Schizosaccharomyces pombe: one gene and its partners. Changing the gene in region 1 together with any one later gene gives a genetic interaction. Each region holds a gene or a part of one and is shown in the gene's direction. Other genes may lie near its edges.

Region 1 (8,819 bases):
TGGCAGAACCAGTTTCGTTAACTGAATTCCTTGACAACACGCTTCCGTTAAATAAACTAGGATTGCCACCCATGATTGACGATGTTGGAGAAAGTTGACCGCTAGTTCCTTCACGGCGATAGGTGGTGTTGGACAAGTAAACACTTCCCTCAACATCAACATCGGCAAGGTCTTTCTCTAGTTTTCGAATTACCTCCTCTTGTTCAGAAGCTTTTTGTTCCAAAAATGAAGCCTTCTTCGACTCTTGAGTAATTCTATCAGTTAACTGGGCATTTGTGGAGCGTAGCTTGGCCAACTCCTCAGATAGTTGCTTTTCGCGCTTGAGTAATTGAGACTCTAGAGAAGTGTTTTCATGAGTCGCATGTTCTCCACTAAATTCAATTTGTTTTAAAACAGATAGTTCTCGTTTAATCTCGTCGTAATCCGAAAATTTATTGGCCAATGTTAAGCTTTCTTCTTTAACTTTGCGGGCCTCTTTAACTTCATTTTCCAGCGTTTGAATGGTGGCACAATGTGTTTCCATTTCTTTTCTTGATGCTTCCTTTATTGATTCCAATTCAGTAGACAATTTTTTATTAAGAGAATCCATAAAATCCAATTGTTGTTTCTGCTGGTTACTCAGGTCATCCTGTGACGACCCGCTCTTTTGCTCTTTGGTGTTTTGCTTGAGCACAGCAATTTCTGCTTGCAATTCGACAATGATTTTGTTAGCATCATCCAATTCAGAAAGAATAGCATTCACTTCGGCAGATTTGGCATTAACGTCCAACCCTGCTGATTCATTCTGACTGGCCTGTAAATCATGATCTAGTTGTGATGCTTGTAATTCCCGAATTTTTGAAGTTAATTTTTGAATCGTACTAGCATTTTCCTGTTCCATGTCTTTATATAGCTTTTGTTGCTCAAGCCAAGACTTTTCGCATTCTTCTTTTGTGATTGCGGCACGCTTTTCCGCTTCAGTCTCTACAAGGTCCTTGTATTTGTCAAGCTCTTTTCGTAAATTTTCCACTTCACGTTCCAGCTTTTCCTTACCCTGTAGCGAGCCTTCCATTTCTTCCTTTTCCTTTTTTAAATCTTCAATCTGTTTTTGAGTTTTAAGGTTGTTCGCAGCCTCAATCAGCAAAGGGTAGGGATCAGGAACCTCGCCTAGTGTTTCATACACTCGAAAGAATGTTGCTTCAGCGGACTTTGCTCGTTTGGTCAAAGAATCGATTCCAGACTGATAAAGCTTTAAAAGGCCCTTCATTTCGCCTAGCTTGACTTCATCAGGCTGCTTGCGAAATTCTGTATATTAACAATATTAGCAAGGGTTAATGTATACTAGGTATGCTGCAATAATAGACACCATACCCTTCGTTTTTGACGAAAGCTCTTTCCTTTCATCCAAAGATGTCTTTTGCATCTTCTCAATTTCTGCTGCAGCTTCATCTGCTTCCCGTTGTAATTCCTCAAACCGCGAATCTATTATCTCACGTTAGTAACTTTGCTATTTGCTTAAAAATTCAAAACACCACGAACTTTTCCATGACTCCGTTAGCTTTTGGAGTAAAGCTTCTGAAGCAACTGCCATTATGTTGCAAGTTATTAAAACGAAACACTAAAATGACTAATGTTTAGTATTTGTTTTGTGCTTAGCATTTCAATGAAATAGCGCGATGTCAGCGTGCTGAAATAGTGAATTGGGAGTTACACAACGTTCCATTAAACACTTCGCTATAAGAATTTGTTTTTATGGAAATGAGTAATATGTATTAGGCGCTTAATTCGATTGGAAAAGTGATTGTATATTGTATTGATTTTGCTTTTGTAGCCTTGTATTTTGGGAATAATGCAAAGCCTATTGACAAAAGGCCAATCTTTTTAGATCAGCTATCAAATTATTCAGTCAATTAATTTTCGAAGAGACTTGAAATTAAGTCAGTCAACAAACATACAATCACTTCTGTGTGCAATTATTATAGTTCCTGCTATTTCACTCTGTGAGGCTATCTCAAATTGCTATAACTCCCAGGATGCTTGCAAGTTAACTTAGAATTACTATGGATTAAGATTGGAAGAGAATCTCCTATAAGGATTCCACGTATTTGAATAGTTAGTTTTGTAATAGAATCTAATTTTTATTTAAATTAGCAGAAATTCTAAATTTACTTTCTTTCTATATCATAACATTTCGTTTACTATGGGTTACACGCTACCCAGATCTACTCATATTGAAAGTAACCATATTAACGCAACAGATACACTTACAAAGGGCTTTTTCATGAATATAATTGTTTAATGAATCTTTTCATTAATTCAAAATTTACAAATGTCTGATATTGAGCTGCATGAGTCAGCAATTCCTAAAGAATTGGATTCCCCTGTAACTACCATTGCGCTCTATAGTAAGGCAAGCATCCGGGGCTATATTGCTAACTATTTGATTTTTTTAGATAACCATCTATACTTTGGAACGGAAGGTGGTGATGTATTCCTCTATAATTTTTCAAATTTCCAGGTTTGTGTTTATTCGTGTGTTGCACAGGGTTGTTTGCATTAACACGCGTATTAGTTAAATGAATCACCAGAGCTTGTAAAGAAGATTTCGTTGGTGTCGAAATCTCGTGTAAACCGAATTCTTGCAATGCCTTTTCTTGGCGCAGTTTTTATTCATCATGGTAAGCTATGTGTGGTTTACGATAACTTTGGAATACCAATTAACGGTGGTAGGTAGTTTCGCAGAAGTATACAAGGAAGATGATTTGACTCAGCTTTACCCTTCCATCTCCTTTAAAGGCTTGGTGGAATTCTGTCATCCAGGCCAACGTATTGACGAGAAAAGCACATATTTAATTGTGACCAATACTCATTTAAAGCTCATCTCATTTCAAAAAGATGGAATCATACTAGTCAAAAATGTATGTTAGATGCTAAATTGTTTACTTCATAAAAGCGCTAATTAACAATAAACAAGGAACTTAAATACCCCAATATTCAAACTGCTCGTGTGAATGGTCATATCGTTTGTCTAGTTACCGAAAATTCCTTTGAATTATTGGATATTCTCACCTTTGATACTACTCCCCTCTTTCCCATTATCAAATACGATTCGGAAAATAATGGGCTAATGTACAAACCCATGATTGTTTTGCATTCTAATGAATTTCTCTTGATTACCGGTAGTCCCAAAGATGCCATAGGGCTTTTTGTAGATTCCCAAGGGAATGTCACAAGAAGCACTCTAACTTTTTCATTTTATCCAAAACATGTTTTTTCTACATCTCATTATGTGTTCGCCATTTCTTCTAGTTCGTTACAGATCATCGACATAAATACTCTCAGTCTTGTTAAAAGTATTAATCTGAAGGATGATGAAAGTTTCTCTTTTATTTCTCGATTGACAAGCGTTCATTTTTGTGATCGCCAAATATTTAGTAAATTCTCTGCTGTGAATACTGCGTCTACCTCAAAAACTTCTGATACGATAGAAAGGGCTTCTTTTAGCAAGCCTTCATTTATTTTTCTTACGAATAAATCTTGGGGGTTTGGCGCTGAAGCTCATTTTATGAACAAACTAGAATTCAGTATTACCATAGGCGATATTGAAGCCCCTCTGCGTCGAGTGAGTAAGCGATTGCGGAATCCGAAGAAGTATGGAATAACCAATGATGTCGCTTATCTTCAATCTGCTTATTTGGAGCAAATCTCGGCATTACAGTATTGGAAGCAAGGACAGTATGAAAATTCTCTCTCTTTGCTTGAAACTTCCAAAATTGATCCTCGCGTAGTTATCTCCCTCTATCCAGATCTCTATCATTCGGAGCTTTCCTATATTGCTTTTCAAGGTGTCATTAGTTTTCGCAAAAGCATATTGTCCGTCGATGATACTGTTGCTAATGTTTTAAAATCTAATGAATTGTTTCGTGATACTGATCAATACACTCAGAGACAAATGATTGAAATTACTAAGGAAAACGCATACATCATGTTGATGCGTTATCTGAAAAATTACAAAAAGAACACGAGCATATCTGAGTATCTTTTATCTTCGCAAAGAGACGTGATGCTTGCTGTAGAGCATTCGTTATTACTCCTTTATTTAAATATGGATGATTTAGCCGCCGGTACCAAAAATGCTAAGGAGTTGTTAGAGTCTGGTCTAACTGGTGTTGAAGATATAAAAGATGTGTTGATACAGAAGAAAGAGTATTATTTACTCTCCGTGTTATTGGCTACTGTAAGGGATCACGATGGTGTTCTTCAAACTTGGAAGAAATTAATAACAGGGGATTATGAAGATCGGAGATTCAACGATGGGTTAATTAAAATACGAGAATATTTGGTTAATGATATTGAGCCTTCGACATTCTGGGAATTTACTACATGGCTTTGTAAACACGATGCAACGGAGGGTACGCGCGTTTTGCTTGACAAAACAGTTAGTGGATCCATTTCTGCAGAGGACGTGTTAGAGCATTTGGATTCTTCTCAAGATGATGTTTTGATTGATTACCTTGTAAAGTCGAATTCCGTCACTCATCGAGCGCTACTTTTAAAGTTGTGCGTTAATAAGTTGCTTGGCAGTTTATTGGATCATAACGATTTTAAAAATCGCCTTGAGACTGCCATTGAAACATTTAGGGAGCTTCCTTGCATGGAGAAACCTACGTATGCCCAATACTTGGAACAACTTTGGGGGGACATGAGTGATTTCAGTACTCATCTTTCATTTTACTATTTGTGTTCTATTAATCTGATGGAAAATGTTGAAGAAGAATCTATAGATAAAATAAAAGATATTTTGTTCGACATTCATGTTGACAATTTATATCTATTTCCTCAACTTGAACACTCGTTTTACAAAAGGAAGAAGAATTATGAAAAAGCTTTATCCGTTTTGGTTACGAATATTCATGACTATAAGGGCGGTGAAGCATACTGTCTTCAAATTGATGATGTTTATCCTCAGTGTTGGTGCAATTTGCTCGAAAAATGTATATCAACAGGAGATGGATGTAGTGATTTTATTAAAGAACTATTGTATCGTCGACCCTTTTCTTATACGCTTTCCTACGTGTGCGAGCAAATTCCAGATCATTGGAATCTTAACTTATTAGCAGATTTTTTGTGTATATTGCAAAAAAGAAATGCTGAGCGTTTGAATGAATCCCAAACTCGTTTAACACTTGAGAAGTCGTTGTCTCAAAATTTGGAAGAGTTGTTCATGGCTATTAATCGTCGTAATGTAGCCTTGGGCAAAAACGAAATTTAACCCAGTAACATTTAAAAAGTAACCTTTGGTTCAGCAAAGTTTTTACCTCAATTTTCGATACTTATTCGACTGATGTTTAATTTAATGATAGAATAATTTCAATGAGACAAAAAGATTCTAGCTTCAAAATGTTGTTAGAATATAAAGGGCTTTCTTCTACAGTTAATTCAGCTCTTCCTGATCTTTACTAGTCTTAAAAATATAAATAATATTAACTATGAGCCTAAATTCATCGAATTTTATTTTTAAAAACCCCCTTCGGGAATAAAGAAAGTGTCCGTAACACAACGATGCACTGTTCACTAAGGTCGGAAACCCCGAGGATGAGCTCGGAAGTTCCGCGGGTAGGTAGATTCCCAGGGTGCAGCAAATATTCTTACACTTAGCTTCTACCACTACCCTTCCCAGTGTTATTAAAAGGACGTACGGAAAGCGTCTGAAGCATAATTGATTGCTGGAACAAGTAGAATTAATATGGTAGAGAACGTTAATATTAATAACAAAAGGGCCGGAAAAATGTCTGCCGCCCCAACTCCCCATAACACCCCATCGGGGACGAGCGCTCCCAACTTTGGTGCGAAGGCTCCTCAAGTAAATACTATTGACGAAGGAGATGAGAATTTAGAGGCTATCGACGGAAAATTGGGTTCTTTATTACATCTCACTTCAGAAGGAGTTTCAGAATTGCCTGAAGCCGTGCAAAGAAGGATTTCTGGACTTCGTGGTTTGCAAAAGCGATACAGCGACTTGGAGTCTCAATTCCAAAAAGAGCTGTTTGAGTTGGAAAAAGCTTATGCAAAGAAGTACGCACCTATTTTTAAGAGAAGATCTGAGGTTGTTCGTGGCGCTGACGAACCTACCGAGGAGGAAATTAAGAAGGGTGAAGCTGCCGATGAGAACGAAAAGAAAGAACCTACTTCTTCTGAGTCTAAGAAACAAGAAGGTGGTGATGATACTAAGGGTATTCCTGAGTTCTGGTTGACCGCTATGAAGAATGTTTTGTCTTTGTCTGAAATGATTACTCCCGAAGATGAAGGAGCTTTAAGTCACCTTGTGGATATTCGCATTTCCTATATGGAAAAGCCTGGTTTCAAATTAGAATTTGAATTTGCTGAAAACCCATTCTTTACTAACAAGATTCTCACCAAAACTTATTATTACATGGAGGAATCTGGCCCGTCCAACGTTTTCTTGTATGATCATGCTGAGGGCGATAAGGTTGATTGGAAAGAAAATGCCGATTTGACTGTTCGTACCGTTACTAAAAAGCAACGCAATAAAAACACTAAACAAACTCGTGTCGTAAAGGTTTCCGTTCCTCGTGACAGTTTCTTCAACTTTTTTAATCCCCCAACTCCTCCATCTGAGGAAGACGAAGAATCGGAGAGCCCTGAATTGGATGAATTGTTGGAACTTGACTATCAAATCGGTGAGGACTTCAAAGAGAAACTCATTCCTCGTGCCGTTGAGTGGTTTACTGGTGAGGCTTTAGCTCTTGAAAACTATGACGGATTCAGCGACTTAGATGTTGAAGAGGATGAAGATGATGTTGAATCCTCTTCTAACGAAGAAGTTTCCGATTCCGATGAGGAGGACAGTGATAGCAAGCACACTGCTCATGGCCAGCAAAACGCTGCTGAGTGCCGTCAGCAATAAACAATTTCGATAATGTGCATATATTATGGGGTTAATAACAATGGGTTTTCTGTGTTTTGACTAAAGGAAAGATACTTGAAAAGTATGATTCTTGAGGTTTTCATGCAACATTTGTAAACCTTTTGTTGTACAGGATAGGTTCGGACCACATGTGAGTGCTTGCGGACGAGATTCTGCAAGTTTATAAAGTTTTTAAATATCTTCCAATTTATCGAGTTTTTTTCGTTTATCAAATAAAAATGCTTACAGTCGACGTGTTTTATTTTTTACTGGAATTGGTGGTTTTGAGATGAATGGCTTTAAAAGACCTAAACGACATCGTCTACATAATGGGAGGTGTGATCGTTCTTGGCGAATTTTCCGAGTTTCTAGTTTGAGTACGAAAGCCTTTAAAGATTTTGGAATGCTTATATTTGATCAATCATGATGAAAACGCTCGGACAAACTTGGACGTTTTAATATTTTCTTGCCTTTTTTTTCAATCAAATGCTTGCGAAAAGAACTAGTGATAGTTTTTTATTGTTAGTTTAGACCAAGTTGAAAACACTGACTGTAAAAATTGACCTTTAGTAAAGCTTAAAAAAGAGAACCCTTTTTACGAGCTTTTCTAGAAAATAATGCTTTGTTTTGACTTAGAAGTAAGCAATTGAGAATTCATAGTATGAATGGGTTGCATCCTAGTTAGTCTACTCTACCCAAGAAGTTGGGAAGGTATAACTAAACCCGATGTGTTTACATAAAAGGCTATTTCGAAAGAAATGAGTGTCAAAGTTTATCAAAAATACGATTTGTTTTTTTTTCGTTTTTTTAGACATAAAGAAGCTTGCAATTCTTGGAGTAAGAAGGAAACTAAAAAAATGCGGAGCGCATTGTAAAAGAGTGTTCGGTTGTTATAGTAAGTTCGTCTAGCGTTTAACAGATACCAGTTTTGTTTTTTAAAGTTAGAATCATCAAATAATGGAGATGATTACAATTGGGATGGAGGATTGCATACTACAATTTATCTTAGTCTAAATTTAAAGCATATTTGACATATCTCTTACAACATCTAATATTTTAATTTTAATACTTGCCTTAAATATATTATAGCTTTTATAATTTTCGACTTAGACACTATGCCTGAGTGGTTAAAGGGACAGACTAGAAATCTGTTGCGGTCTCCGCGCGCAGGTTCAAATCCTGCTGGTGTCGAAAATTTTTGGCAATTTTTATATTGAAAATTCTTTATATTCATTTGCAACTTAAGAATGTTTTTAGTATATAATGCAAAGGTCCTAAATAAAACAGCGTCCAATTTGATGGAATGCGTTTAGTTGTATAATATTGTTGCAGCAATTTGGTGGACTCAAAACACTGAAAGTCAATTCAAATTTAACTAAGCTCATGTGATATATCAGATTTGTTTGATTTATTATTTTTCCTCGTAAGTTTTAATAAAATGGATTCTACAAATGATCTATCAAAGGTACAAAGAAATAAAATCCAGCTAGCTACTACTAAAGGAAACAAATAATTTTAAAGTAGGGAAAACACACAAGTTATAGTAAATAAAAAAGAAAGAAAGAATAAATAAATAAATTAGTTGGGATACAAAAATAAAAACACAATTTTTTAATAATTAAATACTAGTAAAGAAAGCAAATACTAGTAAATAGTAAGTAATAATGAATATTCCTCTAAAAACAGCAAGTTGTACACTAAAAAAAAACGGAAAAAGAAAAACATTTCTAGTTGAAAATTTCATTTTTTACGATTTCTTGCTTAAAATTTTGAATTTATTTCTGATTATACCTTTTTCTTCTATATTCAATTTTTTTATTTTATATTTTCTTTCTCTCAAGCCCAATTCTCGTACCTGCTTGCTATTACAAATTTGTCTTTATTTTTTTCTCATCTAATGTTTTTTTTTTCA
Region 2 (7,785 bases), 1.3 Mb from region 1:
AGGCCGGGTTTTATTAAAAAAACGAGTAAGAAGCAATGCTCAAAATCCTACAGAAGAGCCTTCACGTTATGACTATGTAGAAGTCATGGCATGTCCAGGTGGTTGTATCAATGGAGGCGGTCAGCTTCCATTCCCCTCTGTCGAAAGAATTGTCTCAGCCAGAGATTGGATGCAACAAGTTGAGAAACTGTACTATGAACCCGGTACCAGGTCTGTAGATCAATCCGCAGTATCCTATATGTTAGAACAATGGGTCAAAGATCCTACGCTGACACCCAAGTTTCTTCACACATCCTATCGTGCAGTGCAAACAGATAATGATAATCCCTTATTGCTGGCCAATAAGTGGTAAAAATAATTAAAAGAAGGAAAATTTATGGGTTTTTTATAATTGTTTATTGGGAATTTAATAGGTTTTGGCTATTTTGGGGAAATAAAAATTTGAAATTAATTGATTAGTGAAGAAGTTATACGCGAATCTTTAGTTGGCTAATATGTGATTCTTCATACATGCTTGATAGGATCCTAGAAGTACTTTACTTCTGAATATTTCATGTGAATTCATTTCTCATTGTATTTTTTAGATTCGCAAGATTTCAATTCATTACCGATATCCGGTATATTATCAAATAATTTACATAACAATAATGATAACTCCATTATCATCCTACACATTTAAAGAATACACTGGTAAAAACAATCATTTCCTCTCAATAGTACTTTTGAATGTGTTTTAAAAATCTAAGTGTATCCATTTCGTAAATAGAGAGTTTCACTTTGAATATTATTTCTATTTTCTTTTAGGGATTTCTAGTTGAAAAAAAAAAGCGCTTCATATAATTTTAATCAATGAAGAAGATAAATTGTTTTAAATACGAAATCTCATACAACTTCATCCTTCAGTAAATTTTTTACCAAAGTTGCTCTTGGTCGCACATCTTTAAAGGTAGCCTCAGCTATAAGACCATAAACAAAAAATCTATAGAGGCATTGTAAAGAGATAAGCAACTTCGAAGTTTTATACACCAAACACAAGTAGTTATCAGAGTTTTCCATTTAGTTTAATTTAATTTGGCTAACTATATATTACACTTAGGGAGTATTCAGCTGTGCGACAAATTTCCACAATTACGCATATCTAGTTTATCACTCCTTAAGTTGGTATTTGTGATTTTGGACGAGTTGTTGCTTAACTTGTATTGCGAAACTTACTATAATACAGTATTCGTTGACCTTAATACCTCAACTGCCTTTGCTACGCTAAGGATTCATCACATACCGATGACACTTCAGTAGTTCTTTAAATTTATTTAAGACGTACAAGCCAGTGCATAATCTAGGTTTACAAAACTCTTTGTTATAGCTCCTTAGACACGGGAACTAAGCAAAGGAGGTATACAGTCTGGATACACGGGAACTCTTAAACAAAGTGTAAAATAATGTATCTCTTAATAACTCTGTCGAAATGGTTATATATCACATTGTGAGCTTGTTACAATACCTTATAGCTTTGCATTTAGTTCAGTGCAGTTTCTTATGTTTGTGTTTTGGGTTTGTAAAGTATGATAAAACGAGAGAGATATTTTGACAAACTGATGAAATTCAAGATCTACTGTATCAGCTTATAACTGGAATAGAAAGAAAGAATATAAAGGCTACAATGTAGCCATGTGCGGTCAACGTTTAGACTGCCGATCTTATGACCTAACTAAAGCGATCGCTATTCAGATCCATTTCTGCTTGTAGGGATGAGACTTTGTAGAATAGCAAATCTGTAAATTAACAAATCTTCAAATTTTGTTGCATCAAGCAATAACTTCTACTCTATCTGTTTCTATCAATGGTTTTTCATATCTCGAATTGAAATATTTCCAATGTGAATCAACTAAAAACATCGCACCCCATTACCTTATTGAATATTCGAATTTGGGGATTTCCTAGAAGAGTTGGACATTAAATGACGTTAATAGAAGTAAAAAAAAAATAGAAAGTCGTTTCATCATGGACTTGTCGATGATTTGCATTACCAGACAATTTTACATCCGTGAGTTCGCAGCAATCGGGTTGGTATCCGTTTATAAATTTAGCCGTTGATATTCATCCCGTCATTTAAAGCTGAGCCTAGGTTGATCTAAATATTCCATTATAGAATCGCTGAAATATTTATTGAATAGGGCATAAATGGTACCCATGAATGCTAATGATAACTAGGCAATCCAACTCCAACTGGCATCTAAAGACTTAGTAATATGACCACCATTTCATAATCTCACGGTGCTACATATAGAAAATCGTTAACATCATAGATGGCATCTTCGGAGTTCCTTCTAGTCCACGCCGAATTGCGGATCAAGGTAAGCAGATCATGAGAAACGTGGGTCATGCGAAAAGTGAGTCTACAAGTGAGTTCATCCTCAAAAGCCTATATATATTATATATATAGCACTTGGGAATAAATGAATAAAGGTTGCAACTTTAGTGATTGAATCGGTAAATCCCGTTAAAACAAACAATCAGTGATTCATCCTTCTTTAGTGTGATCTGTGTAGGTAAGCAAGCAATTTACAAATGCCTAGAAAGTTGGCAAGGCCGGTTTGTGTTTGGCAAGGAAATGAGCAAAAACGTCTGTCTATTCCTAAAACGGACGGTGGGTAAGCAAAATCCCAACTTGAAAATTTGAATTGGGATTTTTTTATTTCAATGGAAAAAGATAGGTTAAATCATAAAAAAGAACATGATATTATTTTCTTGGAAATATGTCGAAATCCTGTCTCATCCCAACCTTTTCGACAAAACTAGGTGTCCTGATGGAAATATAGTTTAAGCTCATCGCTTGCCGAACCGCTCCATCAAATGCTTAATTTGCTTTTATTGACATTGTAGCTCGACGGACTCTCTAGATATCTAAATATTTTTCGTTGAACTTACTAGATTGGGAATTGACAATTGAAAGCTCTTTAATTGATTACTTTCATTGTCTTGATTTTTTTCATTCTCAGAAAATTTCAAAAAATTCAGACTTTAGAAACTCGCTGTTTGTTAATCACTCTCTTGCTTTTTTTGGATTCAGAGAAAATTGAAAAATTCGAACTTTTTTTAAAAACGAATCATTGACCGTATTCTATCCTTTTATCCTTTATTAAACCAACCTTGCTTTTTTAATTTTTATTTTATTTTTTTTTAAACATGAAATTATCTTCCTTTGGATTATTTCTCGCTCTCCAGCTTTTGCCGGCCTTGGGCCTTCCTTCTCGTATCGATGAAGTAGACGTTTCAGACCCAGAACTAATCGGATTATTGAAACCCGATAACGTTGATAAGCCAGCAAACTCTATACCCCTTTCCAAGCGTAGCACAAGCCCATCGTATGCGCCTTATACTGTTGCTTGCCCTAGTGGCTCTCTGCTTCGACCTGCCTCCGATGGCCTTAGTACTGGTGAACAAGAATTTGTTGACAAACGTGTCTCAAAGGTTAACAGTGCATTGGAAAGCTTTATTTCAAAAACCGGCTTAAAAATCGATACAAAAAGTGTGCTGAATGACACAGATGGCCCTCGTTTGGGAATTGCAATCTCTGGCGGTGGATTTCCTGCCATGTTAACGGGAGCCGGCGCTATTAATGCATTTGATGCTAGAAATGGTAACACTACGTCTCTTGGTGGTATTCTTCAATCTTCCATGTACCTTACTGGTCTTTCTGGTGGCTCTTGGCTTGTGGGATCTGTTGCGGTTAACAACTTTGCCAATATTACTTTCTTGCACGACGACGTTTGGAACCTGGACCACAGTCTCTTCGCTCCCTATGACGACGCTTTTGAGAACTTTTATATTTACCAAGAGTGGTTTGAGCAAGTTCTGCAAAAGAAGAATGCTGGATTCAATGTCTCCATTACTGACCTTTGGGGCCGTGCTTTGGCTCTTAAGCTTGTCAATCCTTTGACTGGAGGTGCTAATACTACATTCTCTAGTGTAACAAATGAAACGTGGTTCCAGGATGGTGAATTTCCCTTTCCCATCATCATTGCTGATAATGTCATAGAGGGTGAAACCGTAATCCCTTTGAACGACACTGTCTTTGAATTTACACCCATCGAATTTGGTACTTGGGACACTGGGGTGGAATCATTTATACCCATGGAGTATACAGGTACACACCTTATTAATGGCATTCCTCTTAATGAATCCTGTGTGCGTAATTTCGACAACGCTGGTTTCCTCATGGGTACCTCTTCAAATGTTTTTAGCGGTATCCTTCCTGCGACAAATGCATCACTCACCGCTAGTAATAATACCTTTAACAATGCTGTCCTTAGTTTCCTCGAAATGCTTGCCGAAGATCAATTGGATGTAGGTCTTTATCCCAACCCTTACCAAGGTTATGGAAATGCTTCCAATACAACCACTACCAATCCCTTGGAGCCGTATCCCATTATTGAATTAATAGACGGTGGCTCAGATAGTGAAGGTATTCCCTTTTGGCCCTTGCTTCATCCACAAAGAGACGTAGATGTTATTTTTGCGATTGACGGGGGTTATCAAAGCGCAACGAGTGGATGGCCAGATGGATCGTCCCTAGTTTCTACATATGAAAGAGTTTTAGCCACTAACTCCTCTGGCGTTCGTGGTTTCCCATATATTCCTGATACCAACACATTTTTGGCTCTTGGTTTGAACACTCATCCAACTTTCTTCGGTTGCGACGGTAGAAACACCACAGCCGGAAACCATACCGTTAATGACGATACTCCTCCTCTTGTAGTTTACTTCCCCAACTATCCTTGGACTATGTATGCAAATGTCACTACCTACACTGTTCAACTGGAAGATACTTTGTCCAGTGGAATGATTGAAAATGCCGCTGTTGCTGCTACCCAAAATAACAGTGATTCATTTGCTGTCTGCGTTGCATGCGCTCTCGTTCAACGTTCCTTGGAACGCAAAAACATGTCGACTCCAAGTCAATGTGCTTCTTGCTTTAATCAATACTGTTGGAATGGAACAATTGCAAGCACGACCGTTACTACATATGCACCTACAGTTCTGTCAGCCAAGATTTAGTATGCAACGCTCACGACAATCCATTTTGTTCGATCTTTTCCATGGTAGCATAGAGCGTAAAGCATTGAAACACTAATGTTCATATATTCACTAATCTAAGAACCAGCAAAAGTCGGCTCTTTACTTATTGCTCATAAACAACGAGAAGGAAGATATAGTGAATAAATATAGGAATGAAAAAAGCTTCAAGAAGCCATTAACACCATCGAATTTGAATTCCTAAGCTCTAAATGACACTAATTTATGTAACCTTTGCAGAAATGTTTCAACTCAAATACTGTGTCAGCAGTAGTCCAGCACGCTACGATATACTACGTTGCGTAGCACTATATGTCATGCTAAAATATACATAACATTAGTTTATTGATGATTGTAGCTGTTTGTCCATCTATCTACACAAGTTACACATTGGTAGCAACTAGAGAAAAATATAAATAGAGCTACCACTGAACCTCATTCCTCAGTTCAGTTATTGGCTATATCGGTGACCGATACTACTAGACTTTTTATAACAATAAATATAATATTATTAGTTAACAAAGCGCATACCGCTATGTTGTAAATCCCTAGAAATCTCGCCGCAGTGCTATATATCGTTAAACCAGATACCAAACTGCGTAGCTGACATTATAATTATACTACAACGTTTGCTTCTCAAAAACGTTTTAAGGAAAGCTAAGTTAGGGTAAATAAAAAGGGCAGTGACAAAATAAATGTGTCAGAAGCAATTGCATTTTGAAAATGAGTTTTCGAATTTTAACTTTTACCTACTATTATTAAAGAGAGAAGTCTTCTTTGAAAGAAATTGCTCGTTTTTTATGTTGAACGGCTGAAATTGGGCTCCAGAGTGAAAATTCTTGATTTCGCTGTTTCGTTTGTCGCAATTATAGCAATTAATTCGCGCATGTATTTTATTAAATAAAGAATGATCTTGAAAAAATGAAGAATAATTACACTTCCTTGAAAAGTCCTATAGATGAAGGAGATGAATCGAAGACAGGACATGAAATCGATTTGGAAAAAGGGCTACTTCCAGAATATGATTCAGAGGAAGAGGGCGCACTGCCTCCATACTCGGGTAAGAATTGTAAATAATAAGAAAGGAATTACTCAATTGAAATTGAAGCTTGCCATCGTAGTCAAATTGCATGCTTTGGTCATTGTTTACAGTTGGCCATGCAATGCACACATTTTAATACATGTTCTTTCTTTACTAAAGTCTTTCAATCATATTAATTTAAACAGATCACGCACGTGTAAGCAATTCTCCTAACACACATAGAGAAAACAATCCTTCCAGGTCGACAGATAATTCTTCCCCTTTCTTGATAAAACTGCTAATATCATTCACACCAATCTATGTACTGAATGTACTCGCAATTTGTTATCTAAAGTATAAGGACGCTTTCTTTAAAAATTATGGTGCAGCGGAATGGACATTATTTGGATTTTGGTGTCTTGTTTGCACTTTGGCTTTAATATTCTTGACTTGTAAGTGAGACAATGGGGTTATTCTTACCTTCAGTCACTAACTCATTAGACTTCTATGAAACTTGGACCAAGGCAGTTAAAGTAACTGCGGTCGGCTTGTACAACTCAAGGAAAAAATGGGTAGTAATAATCTGGTTATTATGGGTAGTCATTTGTTTTGTACTCTTTGGTTGCATCAAATTCGGTAACCTGAACTTAGACAAGGCTCTCATCTGTTCTACATGCAGTATTTCAGCTGCTTTACTTTTATTTTTATTATATGGTATGTGAAGTTATGGAGTTACCAATGCTGACCGCTAACACGCAGTTCGTCTTCCATTCTGGACACTCAAGCATATGTTTTCTGGTTTGTTTCAAGTGCTGGGTGTACAAAGTTGTGTCGTTATTGTAACGAAAGGTTTGATGTATTTATTTGATAAACATATCGACGCGACAGGCTACGAAATTGAAGCCACTTCACTCTTTGTTATAGGCAATTTTTTTTTCTTTTACGAAATGGGTTTGTTTAATATTCCTGTAATTTATTCTAATCGTATCAGAATGTCCAGGTGCTCTCAAAAGGATGCCCAAATTTATCAGGAATGGTATAGCTTCTTTCCTAGGTATGTGTATTCAACCAACTGTATGAATGATTCTTTACTTACCCGATTAGAAGGTATAGGAAATGCAATTGGGCGGATAGGAAATGCGTTTAGAGGTGCCAACGATAATAATAATAACATTCCCTTGGAAGAAACGGAGGCCGAAAGCGAAGTCTAATTGCTTTATTATTGTAGTTGTCGCTCCAGTTGGAAAACCTCTTTACGACAATCACCAACGCAGAGAAGCTGCGGCTTTTTAAAAAATAAGCACTAACATTCTTTAATTATCCTCTTTCTTTATAAGTTTATGGAATGTATGCTTAACTTATTCTTTCAATTACCAAAAATTGTCAAACCAATGCATCGCTTAAAATGGTTCGCGATGTTGGATAATCTGGATAATATGCATTGAGATTCGAATCTCTTATTTATTATGATGCGAGTCTAATTATGTGTCTTTTTTAATGGAACCCAAGACACAAACAATAATGGTTTAACTTGTTTACGACAACTTTAAACCAACTAATGAAATCGGAAAACTCGTTGTTCCGCCTTGTTAAATTCACAATTTCATTTTCGTTTATTGCATTCATTTCTCCTTCATCTTGATTTTTAATGAATCAAGCTTAATTATCATTTTTTCCTTTTGTTTAAT
Region 3 (7,875 bases), on another chromosome or scaffold:
CAGCTAGAGAAACATTAATGGAGTAGTAATTTTCGAAAAACGATATAGAAATTAGACCAAAGAATGAATTAGTAATCAATTTTAGTTCTAAAAAAAACCATATTAATTGTAATCAGTATTATCAAGAAATACTAACTGTGCTGTTGTTCTGTATAACGAAAAAATTTTGATGAATGATTTCTCTTGCAATATCGCATTCATTGCTTTTTTTCAAAATAAAGTAATTCGAGATACATCAACTATATCAAATCTTTCCTGAAATCAAGCCTTTTTTACTTAATTTATAAACATTACACTATGCGACACCATTTAAAAAATTTTTTTTGGTTGATTTCGAGGTATACAAACACAAAACTTAATACCGATGCAAAATTTTTATTTCAACAATATTTAGTAAGGGCAATGATTTTGATGATCTTCAAATTCAAGAACTAATCATCAAATAAGTAATAATGTATAGAGACACTGAAAATAAATTACCGATTTTGTGATCTGTAAACTACGATTGCTTGTATACATTCGGAAAGGAACCTTACAACATATTAAAATAATCAAACCAAGACATTCCTAAATCTTTTTAAATATTATTTTCTATTTATTAATCTGCTGACTCTTACTTTGCAAGTTATCTTGACATACTCTCACATACATTTTTCATTCTTTTTAATATATCGAATTGAAAGGTGGTGTTTAAAACAAAATAAGAGAACATTGATAAAGGGCATACGGAAAACTGGCGTTGATCTCATTAATATTGATACTCGAAATCAGTGTAAAAAATGGGAACAAGGTAAATTACGAAGGAATTTTTTATTCTATATTTTAATTTGTAAAATGTTAATTTATATCACAAATTCAGGCGTTTGAAAGATGCTATCTTCACCCAAATACAAGCCGTTTGTAATAACACAGCGCATCACATTTTCTAAATGTCTTTAACGTAGCGTGCCAATCTCTAATTCACTTAAAGGGTTAACCATGCATGGCGGGCTCCGGCCGTTAATGTTTCACAAGCGCTTTGCACTTTGAACAAATCCAATTCTGCAGCGCTGGTGGCTTTCTTGTAAATTTCGCAGCTATGGTTGCAAACTATGCGTCCATGATGTATCATAATGGCTCGAATATACTAGGATACGGTGTTTTGCGATTATTACAATATAATGAACAGTTAATGTCAGGATGGGAAAGTACCATGAAAGATGATATTGGGTATTGGAGACGATTTGTGCATGATTTTTATACTGAAAAGGGAACATTTCGCTATAACATCGACTACAAAGATTCGCCAAACCAGGAGCCGAAATTGTTTGAATTATCGTATGCAGCACTTCCGCGCTTCTTATATCTGAGTTATTGCGGCAAACTTAAAAAGATGTCGTTCCTTTTGGGAAATACAAAGGAATTTGCCATTCCAAACAATGGGTATTTTGTGGAATCGTCAAGGGCAAGCATTTTATATCAGTATCAAGGCGGTGTACAGGTAATTGTATCGGGGCACTTGCGGGCTCATTTCTTTCGTGCTCCTTTGTTAAAATTAGACTCTTTAGAGTTTTCAGCTGTCGGACATTCCGAGTATCTTTTGCGCGAGTTAATGACAAACGCTTCCCTAGCCCTTTCGCAGTCGCGGCCTCCTCAAAATCAAATACAACACGATGGGGTAAAAAGTGAGGATCCGTCATCCGAAAGTGTAAATATTAACTCATCTTCTTCTCTTTTGCCGGATTCACCCGTCAACGAATATGGATTGGAACCGCACATCATGCGGTTCATGGAAATTACTGAAACAATTTCGGGAATGCGCGATCTCATAGCCTTCACTCTTGCTCAGCGATCGGGTCCGACTAGCGCTTTACATAAATTTGCTACAGCTTTACAACAACAGCATCAAATGCAAAAGTCTACTTCCTCTAATATTCCATATGCAAATCCAGCCCCCTCGGGGTTTAATGGCTCGCCTAGGAATGGTGATGTTGCTAGTCTTGCCTCTAATTATCGTTATGCCAAGCAACCTCCCACTATGCCTGCTAATGCAATTAGTCAAGCTAATCGTCTTTTGGACCAAAATAATATCCCCAATATGGATCCATCAATTCTTCCTCAATCCATGCCGATTGCCTCTGTTCCGCCCTATAGTCTTCAGGGGATTAAACGCCAAGGTACCCATTCCCCAATGGTTGAAGGTGAAAATCCCAACAATAATCCTAACTTCTATTCTTCTGATATGCTGAACGCTCAAAAACGTACCAAGGTATAGCTGTTTTTTTGTATTTAATATTCGGTTCGCTCGCTACTTATACATATATCTGCACTCACTGTTATTTTTCGTTGTCTAAGTTTGAAATTCTTAAGAAAAATTTCTATTACTTTCTTTTTTTTGAGCGTATTACATTATTTATTCCTTTTTCTGAATACACTTTTGTGTATGTGTTCAACTTCAAATTCCTTACCGTTCTCATCATATGCAGAATTTGTCATCTCGTTCCCTATTCGACGCTTCTCTTTTATACTTTTAAAATAAAAAGGAATTTTTTTCATTATAAAGTAATTCTATGTATTTTTACATTGCTCCCTGTTTCAAGAACAAATCGTTTCCCCTGTCGTTGCTCTCGAGGGACGTAAAAGAAACTGCATTAGTATAGCGTTCTATATTCTAACATTCTATTTCTTGCACTATTTACATTATAGTTATTTGGCTGTTTTATATGTTTTATACAAAAATTTATAACTTATAATTACATGATGAGCTACTGTCGGTTAATTCATATTCAACTTTGAGTCGGTCAATGTATGAATCTCCTCAACTTCAGTTTAAATAGACGTGTATACTTGAAATTAATAGTTAAATTGTAAATTGAATATTTAGAAATTTGTATTTAATACCGTGGCAAAATCGTTTAGTGTACTATATGAAGCACTTTCCCCCAAGACTCCATCCTACTACCACCATTTGGTTTACGCACCTCACAATTTAGGATTTCACCATCATTATTTATTAAAACAATTATATATTATTTTTTTTATCATATTTTTTGACTTGTATCCCTCAATGTCAAATTTTGATGATCTACAGATTTTAGATCAGTTACAAACTTCTGCCAGGTTTCGTGGTGATACACGAATCCGAAGATTTAAGGGATCCAATAATTCTAAAAGCCCTTTTGGTTTAAACCCTAGTAGTCGAATTTCACAATGGCCCCGAATTACCTTTATACGTGCTAAGGACAATTACAACCCGGCGGAAGAATTGTGTCAATTAATCGATGAACAAAATGCCCACAATGAAGCTAAGCACCAAAGCAAAGAGATTATGCTTCCCAAGGAAACCAACGTTAAGTCCTGCGAAGATTTATCAAAAACCGGTGAAATAAAGGCGTTGGACATTGTGTTATTTAAAGCAATTACTTCGAAAGGTGATACATTGAAAGTAAAGAAAATTCCGGAATATGCGGAAGCGTTTGATACCACCAAGAATGTAGAAGTTTCAAGTTTTCCTGAGAAAAGCATGAACGAAAATGTTTTGATTCAGCATTCTTTAAATCTTGCACCAAGTGATAAGGAAATTTCATCTACAGAAGAAAGTGAGCAGTTGTGTTACAAAGAACAAGAATCTGAGAAGGAGTTATATTCTAAAGATAATGATGACTCTTTAGACATACTAAATGTTCCAAACTTGGTCAATGATGATATTGCTAACAATAACGCTGCACCTCCACCGCCTTTGGCTCAGGCACAGGAGCAGTTGAGTACCGAAAATGAAGACGAGTTTGATATTGATGACACCACCGATAAAATGACTACGTTTACTATGAACAAGTTTGCCGACCTCTCCGTTTTAGAAGAAGATGATGATGATGAGGACGAAGATGAAGAGCTAGAAGGAGAGAAAGAAGAGGAGGAAGAGGAGAAAGAAAAACCTGAAATATCAAATTACGATGAGACAGAGGGTAAAGTAAATTTTTCACTTGAAGATTCGGAATCTTTAGAATTTGATGAGGGATCAGATGACTATGATTATGCTAAGTTAACGACGGAACTTGTGGGAAATACAGATTCATTAGCCGAAGATGAAGATGATATTTTGGAAGAAGATGAAGATGAAGATGAAGAAGAGCTTTTGGCAATTTTTGATGCTAGTGATGATTCCGAGATTGAGGCATACCTTAGTATTGGAGATACTTTGCAAAATGATTTTACTATTTATGATTATGACAGTGAGGATGAAGAGTACAATAACCCCTCAACTCAAAAAACGGAAAAAGTTTCTCAAAGCAAAAAAGGGGCGAAGGTAAAAGAAGAAAAAGGTTTGAAAAAAGATCGCAAACTTCCTAAAAAAATGCGTAAAGCTCAAAAGAAATTAGAGAGAAAGGCAGGAAAGGCTGTGGCCGCTAGAATGGGAGATGCCTTTTCCAATTCTTTGGACGATGAGAGCATGAACTTGTACGCTGAATTGCAAGAACAATGGCTTAAAGATAAAAGCAAAAAGGCAAGAAGACGAGCGGAAAGGGAGAAACTCCGCTCTGAGGGGCTACTTGGAAAGAAAAGCAAAAAGAAACTTTTGCGCGAAAGCCAGAAGCCGTCTTCTTCCGATTCTGACAATGCTAGTCTTACACGAATTGATAAGATATTTATAAATGATGTTTATCAACGGATGCAACAGTTTAAGCACTCGGCCATTGAAGAAATTTCCCTTCCTCCATGCAGAAAATATGTTCGTCGATTGGTTCATGCGCTTGCCAACGATTTGAACTTGAAGTCGAGAAGTTATGGATCTGGAAACAAGCGGTATACTATGCTTTCCAAAACTCATAAATTTGATGCATCTAGTGTGGATTTGGTTTCACTTACCAGGATTATGGAGCGTTTACAGACCAGGGTTGAGTATCAGTCATTTTCCAAATCTGGTAGGAAATCTCGAATGACTGTTTCCTCTGTGAGGTCGAGTAAAGCCACACGTGTATATGATGGCCAAATTGTTGGAGAAGATGCCCCTGAAATTAGCAAAGAAAATCCAGGTCGTCGGTTGCTCGAAAAGTTAGGATGGTATGCAGGTAAAGGACTTGGTCATCCCGAAAATGAAGGTTCCAAAGATAGTTTACGTGCTATTGTTAAAGTTAGCAGAAGTGGTTTAGGTTAGAAAACCAGGGTGACTGGTCAAACCGAGAAACTAATCAGCTGTGTCTTATTTACTTGAGATAATACTCCAATTTATATATATATATATATAAATATATACTATTCTAGGTTAAGCATCATATTCAAATTAGCGATTTGTACATATTGATGTGAAGTAAAAAATTAACCGTGGGTACTTCGACATGGTGTCTTTCCATTCAAGAGATAAACCGGAAATCCAGAAAGATAACTATCTTTTATTTTAAGATATAAACTTCATTTAAATAGACAGAATAATTATTCTCACTACAGGAGCAATTGAATATGTAAGTTGCTGCTATGGGCATACTGCAGCTAAAGAAGTTCTACAAAACGGTGATATCGCAGTGTACAGAGTTATTATTGCTATTTAAAGAAGATAATCGTAAAATCAGTTAGCGTTTAATATATAACACGTGTAATACAGTATAAGGAGTTATGTAAAGTAACGTTTAGGTCATTTTAACAGGCAATATCGGTCAATAGTGATACCCAACATCGCACTATTCGCAGTTTCAACCAAGTATCAATCGGAGCCTTTTTCATTCGTTAAATAGTATAAGGCAAAAATACCGTTTCGGTAAGGGTCAATAGTGTTCGCCTAGGTTCGACTGACTTCAGCCTTTATGGGGCCCGTCGGAGCTAACTTTTCCACTTAACAACTAATCGAATTCTTAAGTGTTTTTTGACGACAATCTGTCAAACACTGTATCCTTATTAAGGAACTAGTGTATTGTTTAAAGTAAAGGAGTTTTCAAGCCTGGGAAGCTCGAAGAAACGATTCAAACGGAAGCTCTGTGGATAGCCAAGTTCGGTACGGGTTTGTACTTTCGTCCCCGAGTATTTTGTTGAACTTCAGGAATTCGCGTTCTTTTTTAATTCTGAATTAATCTTTACTCTTTACTTTTTATTCGTTCTTTTTTTAAATTCTGTTTTTAATTTCGGAACAAACGAAGTTGGATATTGAGTACTTTTCACCAACTGCTCGGTCTTAATAATTCTTGATTTTGCGTTGCTGAGCCTTTATCCTTTATTGTTTTCTTTTTCATGTTGATAAAGAAGTGATTTTGCAACAATTATTTTCTTCATTGGCATTTGAATTTTTACGCTCTTTATTTTATTTACCCAATCTTTCTTTTCTTTCATTCGGTTTGCGCCTTTTGATAATATTTCTCTTAACTGGTCCAATAATTTGTTTTCTCTTTAGTCTATAGACAAAACAACTTAATTTACTGAGGGCAAAATTTTTATTACCAAATTTAAGTTTTAATTTTCATTCCTATTATACTTACGCACGATTTAATTTCCATGGTCTTTTTAAATTCCTCTCCCTTTAAGGGGAGGTTACTATTTTTTGTTTACCTTTTGATAATTTCTACTCGGTTGGTGGCGGCTGACATGAACACTCAATATGGCTGTTATCTCGTGGATAGTAGCTTAACTGAACAAGGCACGTTTACCTATCTTGATCCAGCGTATTGCTATAACAACATTTGTGGTGGATCTGATAATATAGCATTTGTAGCTATCCGTAATAATCAATGTTATTGCGGTAGTACACTTACTGCTACAGAAGTTTCAAGTTCTCTTTGCACAACGCCTTGTCCAGGTTATGGTTCTCTTATGTGTGGTGGTGATCTGTACTGGTCGGTTTATCTGACTGGCAATGGGGTTTTGCAAACCACGGTTTCTAGCTCGTCAGTGTCGTCTACGACCTCTTCGTCTTCATCATCATCTCCAAGCTCATCTTCAACTACAACAACAACATCTCCTTCTTCTTCTTCTTCTTCTTCGTCTTCGTCGTCTTCCTCTTCTTCTTCGTCTTCTTCTTCTTCTTCTTCCTCATCTTCCTCTTCCTCTTCCTCTTCCTCTTCGTCTTCGTCTTCTTCGTCTTCTTCCAGCTCTTCGTCTTCTAGTTCTTCCTCTTCCGTACCAATAACGTCTTCCACCAGTTCTTCTCATTCTTCTTCATCTTCAAGCTCATCTTCCTCTTCATCTTCTAGTCGGCCATCTTCGTCTTCGTCGTTTATCACGACCATGTCCTCATCTACTTTTATTTCTACTGTCACAGTAACACCAAGCAGTTCCTCTTCTTCAACCAGTAGTGAAGTTCCAAGCAGTACGGCTGCCCTCGCTCTAAATGCAAGCAAGGCGTCAAACCATACGTCCTTGAATGCAGGTGCTATTGTGGGTATTGTTATCGGTTGTGTGGCATTCGCCGTGGTAATGGCATTGTGCATTTTCCTATACTTCTATTTCAGGAGATTCAAAATTAGAATGAGCGACTCGGCAAATGAAGGAAAATATCCCTCCTATGCTAGTGAATTAGATTCTCGCTTGGATCCTGCCATGATGAATCGCAAATCAAGTGAATCTTTGGCTGACAGTCAGGATTATTCGAGAAAGATATTGCGTGTCACAAATTTGAACTAAAACAACATTTTTCTTTTTTACTTTATTTAAATTCAACCAAAAAATTATTTCTTCTTTATGGTGTTTATGACTTTCATAATCGTATGCTACAAATCTTTTGCATATGATCGGAAAAGTGATCATTTTGGTAACGATAAAAAGTTCTTTATGGTCGGTTCTCTGTTGGCATAATCTTATTTATTTATTTTCCCTTATTTTATTCGTTCTTTACTTTTTCTTCTTCTCTTTATCTTTCTTTCGGGAAACTGGATTTGTTTTCAATATGTGTTAAACCGTTGCAGTGTTAGTGAC
Region 4 (8,403 bases), on another chromosome or scaffold:
CACATAATTAGTCTGCTGGTTTCTTTCTTCCTTCCTTTAAACATTTTGTGAAGAATCTCGTAACCTACCATTCGGTGCTGCTGTATTATAAATCTAATCTATTTGATTCGCTACGGATCTTTCTCACCTTAGACCTTTACTACCTGAAGGGTTCTTTTCTTCTTCTTTAATTCTTTGTCACGATATATTATAACTTTTCATTTTCTTTTTATTTTATTTTATTCTATTTGCTTGTCTGGGTTTAGGTGCTTTGTGTTCTCTTTCTTCTATTCTTTTTTTCATTGTTCCAACTACTCTGCTGACTGCAATATCACGCCTCTTTGAATTCTCGGGAAAAGGCTTATCTACTTTTCCTTTGTTTCATTCGTCTGCTGTCGCCCTGTAGCTTTAACGTTTTCTAACTCCGTCGCTGGTTTCGTCGATTAACTTTGGGTTTCGCATACGGTTTCGTGTAATTTCAAACATTTATTTATTATTTATTTATCTATCTGTCGGTCTGTTTTCTTTGCTTATTTTCCGCATTCATCTTAGCTTATATTTCAATCGTTGAATCCCATCCCTTGCTTCATTCGTTTTTCTCTTCTGCCAACAAATTCTTCTAGAGATTGCATCTTTTATCGTCGTTAAGGAGATTGGTTAAGTAGTTTCCCTCTCATTTTTTCAATCTCTCCTTTCTAGCTTATTTTGGGTTTTTACACAGTTCAAGTTTTCCTTTTATCTGCCTGGTCCCCAAAATCTCGGTTTTGCTTTATTTTCTTTCTTCAAATTCGACTTTGTGCGCTTGAAGATTCGATTTCAAGCAATCATTATTATTTCTTACACTCTTTCTTTGGATGACTATTTTCGCCAACACATCTATCTCTTCATTTTTGCAACTTTTTAGGCTTACTAAGCTTCTTTTTCTTGTATAATAATATTAACTGATTTTGGGTACGTGTCTTCAACATGGCATACCTTTAGAGATTTCTGTTTTTTTCCAGTTAGGAGCACTGTTTAGTCAATCTACTCGTTCTCCTCATTGTGTTCGTCTTCCAATTTTTGTCATCCATTTTTACTTTTCTACTAAATTTTCGTCGAAAGCTTTCATTGTTAGCTTTTTTCCCTTTCATAAACTCGTATTTTCTTCTCTTTGAGAAAAAGCTTGCTAAAAGTTTTCATTTTTCTCCAACAGCTGCTTAAAATTTCATCTTAGATATTTCTCTACACGATGTCGAAAGTTAACATGCGAGCTTTGCTCGAGTCCTTTAGTACCGTGATTCTTTCTATCTACCCCTTGGCTAAAAGTACAAATCAACAATCACATTCGCACTCCCTTTCACTTACTCAGTTTTTGTATGAAACGATTCGCAGAAGTCGTGTCGATTACACTACGTTGCTTCTTGCTTTATATTACTTCATCCGTTTTCGTGATGCTGCTTCTTCTAAGCCTACTAACTACATTCCTCTGTTATGTGGGCGTCGTCTTTTCTTAGTCTGCTTGATGGCCGCTACAAAATTTTTACAGGATCGTAGTTTTAGCAATCGTGCTTGGTCTCGCCTATCAGGACTTCCAGTTGACAAATTACTTGTTTTGGAATATATGTTTTACCAATGCATCGATTATCGTCTTGTCGTTCCTAAACATATTTTTGCTAGATGGTCTCTTTTAGTTGGTGAATGTTGTGCTCACGCGACTGCACGTTATGATTCCACCGATCCTAATGTTGCCTCATTTGGCAGCGTCGCACAATATTGGGTCTCTTTGTTTTCTAATGTTCAATCTTCTCTAGATGATCTTTTTTCCATTGCCTGTTTAACGAAGATAGCACATCGCAGAATGAATGCTAATGCTGCTTTGAAGAATCAGGCTACGAGGAAGCCCTCCTCTTCTCCTCAAACAACTCAAGACTCATCACCTATTCTTACGATGGCACCTTCTACTCCAGTATCTGTTGGCAGTACCCCTCCATCCACTCCATCTGTTTTACCCATTGCCAAACAACTGGCTCCTATGAATGTCTGTAAAGCACATATTCAGGCTTCAAATCAGTCCCGCACTTTGACTACTGCTTCGCCACCCGAACAAATACCGCTTATGGAACCGCAAGTTTATGTAAATCCTCAAGTATTACCGGGTCGGTTGTCAAGCCTTTCTAAGCCAGTTAGTCTACCACCAACTCCTTCTTCACCAAAGGTTGGAGTATATCGGCCAATGACTTCTAAGTCCAATGGAGGTGTTGCTTACTGCTATAATGCTCAAAAATTGAACAATGCTACTGGTCCAGTTACATTTAATATGCCTTTTGCAAGCGTCTTACCACTTGCCGTATCTGTGAGTTGTGATCTGGGTACAGCGTCTGCATATGTCGCGTCCCTCCCTCAACCTTGTTCTCAAAAAAGGCATTTAGAAGAAGACTACTCATGTTTAACGGAACACAGTGCTAAGCGTCGCAGTTACTTTTAATTATCAAGCCCAATCTGCGCTGTCTTCGCCGCTTCTTTCAAAAACTATAATATTTAATGAATAATTTCATAATACTGATGCCATTTTAACAGCGGATGTCAATAAATACCGATAATGTTTTCTTTCTATTGATTTATCTATTCAAATTGTGTGGAAGATAATCATGATATGGGAAACTTGATTAGGTTTATATTACTACCTTCTTTTCATATCTAGACTTGTCAATGTTTTGATTAAAAATCAAATATTGTTGTCGTTTCTATGAATCTTTTTTTAACATTCTAATAGCAAAACGATGTATATATGGTATGAATGAATTAACGATTGGCAACTATATTTACTTATGCATCTTGTAAATTGATATCAGTAGAGCAAGGTATTCAAAAAAGATAATTTTGTTGATTTCTTATGGCCATAAACTTGTCAAATAGTCAAACTATTTAGAGATTATGTATGTGCTCATTAAGATAGTTATATATTTTAGGCAGGTGAATGTAGCCATTTGAAATCTACTACTGAGCTCCAATCCTATTTGAAGGCTCTAAGAGTCCTTTCAATCATTTTTTAACAGAGTTGTCTAAGTAATATTTTTTCAACGATTAAACTGTGAAACATTGAACTAAAATATCTTGATCATTTACAAAAGCAGTAATTGCTACACCGTACTACTAGTAGAGCCAATTTTGATTACGGTCTTTAAAACAATGTTGAATACACTAATTGTAAGCGATTTTTGTAAAAACTAATAATTATACGTATCTTCTTGAACATCACGAAAATTAACTGATATTTCCCTAAAGTACAGTTGCAAGTAGGAAGGATTAAGACAAAACAACAAATTATATACTAAAAATTTTACAAATGTTAAAATCAATTTCACATATATATTTTGTTGTAATTAAATGCACTCAAATACTATAGCTTACAAGTTTAGGGAGCATTACGGAGAACATCCCACATATGCTGTTCTATGAATGGGGTTTGGATTTGGCCATCACCACTTCACCGATTTACTGGTTCTTTTGAATAGTTGAAGTGTATGAGTACAATTTCAGAAGTTGGACCTTGGGAGCTTGGTCTTTCCTTAGGATCAGGAGGACCAAATTCATCACGTTTAGCCAAACATCGTGAAACTGGGCAATTAGCCGTAGTAAAACCGATTGTAGGATGGTCCGAGCTTACTTCGAGCCAACAGGCTAGGATAGAGGGTGAATTAGTTTTGCTTCGATTGATCGAGCATCCTAATGTTTTGCAGCTCATAGATGTGATTTCAGCCCAGGAGCAACTCTTTGTCGTAGTCGAATATATGCCAGGTGGTGAGCTTTTTGACTGCATGCTTCGTAAAGGAAGTTTTACTGAGCAAGATACGGCAAAGTTTCTATGGCAGATTTTGTGTGGATTGGAGTATTGTCATAAACTTCATATCTGCCACCGGGATTTAAAGCCAGAGAACTTATACTTGGATGCCCATGGTTCTATCAAAATCGGTGAATTCGGTATGGCGTCTATTCAACAGCCAGGAAAGCTTTTGCAGACTTCCTGCGGGTCTCCCCATTACGCATCCCCAGAAATTATTATGGGGCGTTCATATGATGGTTGTGCTAGCGATATTTGGTCATGTGGAATTATATTTTTTGCTTTGTTAACAGGGAAATTACCGTTTGATGATGACAACATTCGTTCTTTGTTGCTAAAAGTCTGTCAGGGTCAATTTGAAATGCCATCAAATATCTCTCCTCAAGCCCAACATCTGTTGTACCGCATGCTTGATGTTGATTCATCTACTCGAATTACCATGGAACAAATTCGTGAACACCCGTTTCTTAGTTGCTTTGTTCATCCCAATATTTCTATTCCAATCATATCAGCCCCTATACAACCCATTGATCCATTAATAGTGCAGCATCTCTCTTTAGTTTTCAGATGTTCCGATGATCCTATGCCCTTGTATGAAAAATTGGCATCTCAATCACCCTTGGTTGAAAAAACTCTATATACTCTACTGAGCAGACACTTGCATCCGCCTTCCAGCGCTGCAGTTGATCGCAACCGCGCTGTGGTCGATGATCTCCTTGGTACAGCAGCATCCAACGGGCAGCAAATGGACGAGGAAGAAATTGAACAAGCTATCAATATTCCTACTTTAGCGCCTTATCCAATTTCTTATGCTGCAGAGTCTGTTCCTCGACCTGCTACTTCTGCATCGCCATTTCTTACACCTGTTACCACTTCTGGCACTTTTAATTACTCTTTTAATGCTACCAACCCCCAATCCATACTTCAACGACCAGCCACTACATCTTCTGCTGTTCCTCAACTCCCAAAATCAGTTACCCCAGGACTTGCATATCCCCACGATAGTTCAATGCTGTCATCAAATTACCGACCTCCTTCTGCATTATCTCCTCGCAACTTTAACGTTTCTATAAACGATCCGGAAGTTCAACTAAGTCGTCGCGCTACTTCACTGGATATGTCAAATGATTTTCGTATGAATGAGAATGACCCTAGTATTGTTGGTAATTTAGCAGCTTCCAATTTCCCGACAGGTATGGGACCTCCAAGAAAGCGTGTCACTTCTAGAATGTCCGAACACACTGGTAATCGAGTCGTAAGCTTCCCGCGCGGCAGTGCTTTTAATCCAAGAGTTACTCGCTTCAACGTAGGAAATGAACAATTCTCTAATAATATTGATAATAATAACTATAATCAACCATACGCAAATGCAACCATGAACAACTCTCGTCGTCTTCGTACCCCTAGTGGGGAGAGATCAATGCGTGCTGATCTCTCTCAATCACCAGCCTCTTATGATTCGTTGAATGTTCCCAAACATAGAAGAAGACAATCGTTATTCTCTCCTTCTTCTACAAAGAAAAAGCTTTCCGGCTCACCTTTTCAACCAAAACGATCATTTTTAAGGAGATTATTTAGTAGTGAGCCTTCTTGTAAATGCGTCTATGCCAGCTTGGTTGCTTCAGAATTGGAACATGAAATTTTAGAAGTTCTTAGAAGATGGCAGCTTCTTGGTATCGGCATTGCTGATATTATATATGATTCTGTGAGTGCTTCGATATCTGCTCGTATTAAACGACAAAATTCACTTAATCTTAAACCGGTTCGGTTTAGAATATCGGTACTGGCTGAGTTTTTTGGTTCACAAGCTGTCTTTGTGTTGGAAAGCGGTTCTTCTACAACTTTTGACCATTTGGCTACAGAATTCCAGCTGATTTTTGAAGATAAGGGGTTTTTGGATAATTTGGAACTCTCTTATTTTCAAGCTTCGGCATCCAGACCTGTTTCTCGAATGAGTGTAAGTAGTAGTCCTTTTGCTGTATTTCGTCAACGACAATCCGTCCAAAGTTAAATTCTTTTATTATTATTATTATCATTTTTTTTTGATTCTCCAAAACCTTTGCAAACTTCATTTTTCTCGTGATGCTTTGGAAAAAAAAGGATTATCAAAAAAGCTAATCGTTTGATAATTGAACATAATGTATACTCGTGGAAGTATTGGAACTTTTTGAATTAAGCTTTCATTTTGTCCCATATTGGAACTCTTTTTATACACCAACAATATCTTTATAGACCTCCATTCTTTTTCTGATGTTTTTCTTTTACTTGTTCAACTTGCTATATGGAACCACGGTTATCCGGGAAGCAATAAATGCATTTAATGATTAAATTATATTTTGCTGCTCTGCTACAATGTTTCTCTTGGAACCTGTTGAGTTTTGTACATGTGATGTTGTACTTGGAACTTACTCCAATGATAATAACTTGCATGTCTGAAGCAAGGTAATTTTTGTATTTAGTATGACCGGCTATTGCTGGCATCTTTTTTGAAATACATTTTTCTTATTTAATTTAGGTATAAAATTTTTTATCTTAATCAATCTTTTCTTTTGGCTTTCTAACTCTTCGTTCTAAATCACAATCTTTTTAGTCTCGTTTATTTCAATCGATTTGACTTTTTCTTCATCTTATTTATCACAATCAACTAGCACTAGCGGATACAATTTCAATGAACTGCAGCATAGGTCGTATTATGTTTAGAAATTTATGACCCTTCTGCTTGTTCTGTATAAATTAAATTTATTCCAATTAAGTATTTGGTCGCTCAATGCTAATTAGTATGATATTAAATTTGAGTGGAATTCAATATGTAACCTGCTTACTTCGATAGTTGAAGAAATACATTTGAAGTTGTAGGATATCTAGGTTATCTGCATTGTACAAAGAGTCTGTTTTTTTGGAATGAAGTACGTGACATATTATTAAGCACTTTTAAAATTGTCTGTGCAATTGCCTTTTCAGTATTTTTAGCGAGGTTGCAACTTCAACTTATTACTTGAACAAGCAGCGAAAAACTGCAAGAAAATCGTGTAAAAACTAGTAAATACCATGGCTAATGTAGAGTTACAAACAAGTTTGGTAAGATCTTTTCCAAGCTCAAGCATTTAACATTTTTTAGGGAAAAATTCTTATTGAATTGTATACAGAACATGCTCCTAAAGTACGCATCAAGAATAAAGGACGAACAGTGTTGTTTGCTTTGAAAGTAGAATCGCTAACTTATAGACATGTCAAAATTTCTATACTTTAGCAAAAGAAGGATACTATGATGGTGTTATTGTAAGTTTTTTTCGCACTGTTTGCATCGTGCAAATAAGCATGTTGAAATATGAGTCTACAATTTAATATTTCAAGTGTGTTATTTTATTGATTTAACTGTTCACATTTACATGATGGACTCAGTCAGTCATATAAATATGTGTCCTATAATTCATTCAATATCGTATTTGATTTAATTCGTGAAATTGGTACTAATTAAATTAGTTTCACAGAGTTATTCCAGACTTTGTAATTCAAGGAGGGGATCCCACAGGTACAGGTCGAGGTGGAACTTCTATATATGGGTAGGCAAAGCTTTATAAATCGGCATTCACCGATTGTTTGCATCTTTATTACGAAGTTTTCACATTCTTATTAATTGATTAGGGATAAATTTGACGATGAGATTCATTCCGATTTACATCACACTGGAGCTGGCATTTTATCAATGGCCAATGCTGGACCTAACACAAATTCATCACAGGTATGATGACTTTGTTTACACTAACTTTAACCATCTTCAGTTTTTTATCACTCTAGCACCTACTCCTTGGTTAGACGGAAAACATACAATTTTTGGTCGTGTTGTTAGCGGGCTTTCTGTGTGCAAGCGTATGGGTCTTATCCGAACGGATTCATCTGACCGCCCAATTGAACCTTTAAAAATCATTAAAGCTGTTGCACTTTAAATTATTCTTTAAAGGATATTCAAAGGTTTTAATCTATAAGTCTTTTTTCGATTTTTCAACACATCCTGAAGATATTGACTAAAGTTATTTGTCACGGATATTAAAAGCTAAATTAATAGTTGATAAAGAGAAGCATTTCCTTACAAAAGGTGGACTTTTTAATTGAAGTCAAATTTTACAAGTCAAGTGGAATAACATAAGCTTCTAAGAAGGAATTAACTAGTTTTCTAGCTTAAGAAATTGGAGATGGATTTTGTTACGCATATCAACCTAGTTGTTTGACCATAAACGATTGAACAAAAACCTTTTACAACGTTAGCATTGCTTCCGGTACTTTTCTCCTTATCAAAAATTTTACAATTGTATTTTTTTCTTAATTAGAAGATTAAAGCTCGGGCCAAATATACAACTACAAGAGTTTATTGGACTAGATTACTCAAATACTATTGCTTCAGTTTTTTTGTTACAACGTGGGATGTTATTTTAAAAAAAATTCAGAATCAAAATAAAGTCCAATGCATAAAAACGGCATGAATCCTTCTCTTTTTTATTTAATTCTTCTTTTAATTGTTTACGCCAATTTGTGTGATCCATAATTAGCAAATTATTTTACGTGTTTTAACGTATTACGTTATAATTGTAATTAAGCAAATAAAT

What was found.
Region 2: mutations in vps3 (region 1) and plb5 together harm fitness more than expected from each alone (negative genetic interaction), as found in Schizosaccharomyces pombe (one large-scale study listed by BioGRID).
Region 3: mutations in vps3 (region 1) and sqs1 together harm fitness more than expected from each alone (negative genetic interaction), as found in Schizosaccharomyces pombe (one large-scale study listed by BioGRID).
Region 4: mutations in vps3 (region 1) and cdr2 together harm fitness more than expected from each alone (negative genetic interaction), as found in Schizosaccharomyces pombe (one large-scale study listed by BioGRID).

Annotation. Positions count from the first base shown.
Region 1 is NC_003421.2:472,478-481,296, reverse strand, and holds vps3 (GTPase regulator Vps3), read left to right. Parts: upstream 1-2,235; 5' UTR 2,236-2,308; coding exon 2,309-2,384; exon of another isoform or gene 2,385-2,432; coding exon 2,433-2,497; exon of another isoform or gene 2,498-2,551; coding exon 2,552-2,657; exon of another isoform or gene 2,658-2,709; coding exon 2,710-2,897; intron 2,898-2,953; coding exon 2,954-5,251; 3' UTR 5,252-5,514; downstream 5,515-8,819. Other genes in the region: coy1 (CASP domain-containing family protein), read right to left, coding at 1-1,284, 1,351-1,461, 1,519-1,570; histone H2A-H2B chaperone Nap1, read left to right, coding at 5,726-6,907. UniProt on the Schizosaccharomyces pombe protein: Required for sorting and processing of soluble vacuolar proteins.
Region 2 is NC_003421.2:1,738,861-1,746,645, reverse strand, and holds plb5 (phospholipase Plb5), read left to right. Parts: upstream 1-3,186; coding exon 3,187-5,058; 3' UTR 5,059-5,444; downstream 5,445-7,785. Other genes in the region: nar1 (iron hydrogenase), read left to right, coding at 1-352; wtf antidote-like meiotic drive suppressor Wtf16, read left to right, coding at 5,998-6,136, 6,304-6,549, 6,599-6,811, 6,857-7,048, 7,089-7,151, 7,202-7,308.
Region 3 is NC_003423.3:1,299,200-1,307,074, reverse strand, and holds sqs1 (G-patch and R3H domain-containing protein), read left to right. Parts: upstream 1-2,939; 5' UTR 2,940-3,046; coding exon 3,047-5,134; 3' UTR 5,135-5,478; downstream 5,479-7,875. Other genes in the region: ldb1 (LIM domain binding protein), read left to right, coding at 1,079-2,254; transmembrane receptor Wsc1, read left to right, coding at 6,460-7,584.
Region 4 is NC_003424.3:1,361,364-1,369,766, forward strand, and holds cdr2 (serine/threonine protein kinase Cdr2), read left to right. Parts: upstream 1-3,432; 5' UTR 3,433-3,482; coding exon 3,483-5,810; 3' UTR 5,811-6,605; downstream 6,606-8,403. Other genes in the region: cyclin Pas1, read left to right, coding at 1,208-2,443; cyclophilin family peptidyl-prolyl cis-trans isomerase Cyp1, read left to right, coding at 6,848-6,877, 6,918-6,959, 7,025-7,078, 7,283-7,362, 7,445-7,541, 7,582-7,746. UniProt on the Schizosaccharomyces pombe protein: Acts as a mitotic inducer. In G2 it negatively regulates wee1, a mitotic inhibitor. Also has a role in cytokinesis where it required for proper septum formation.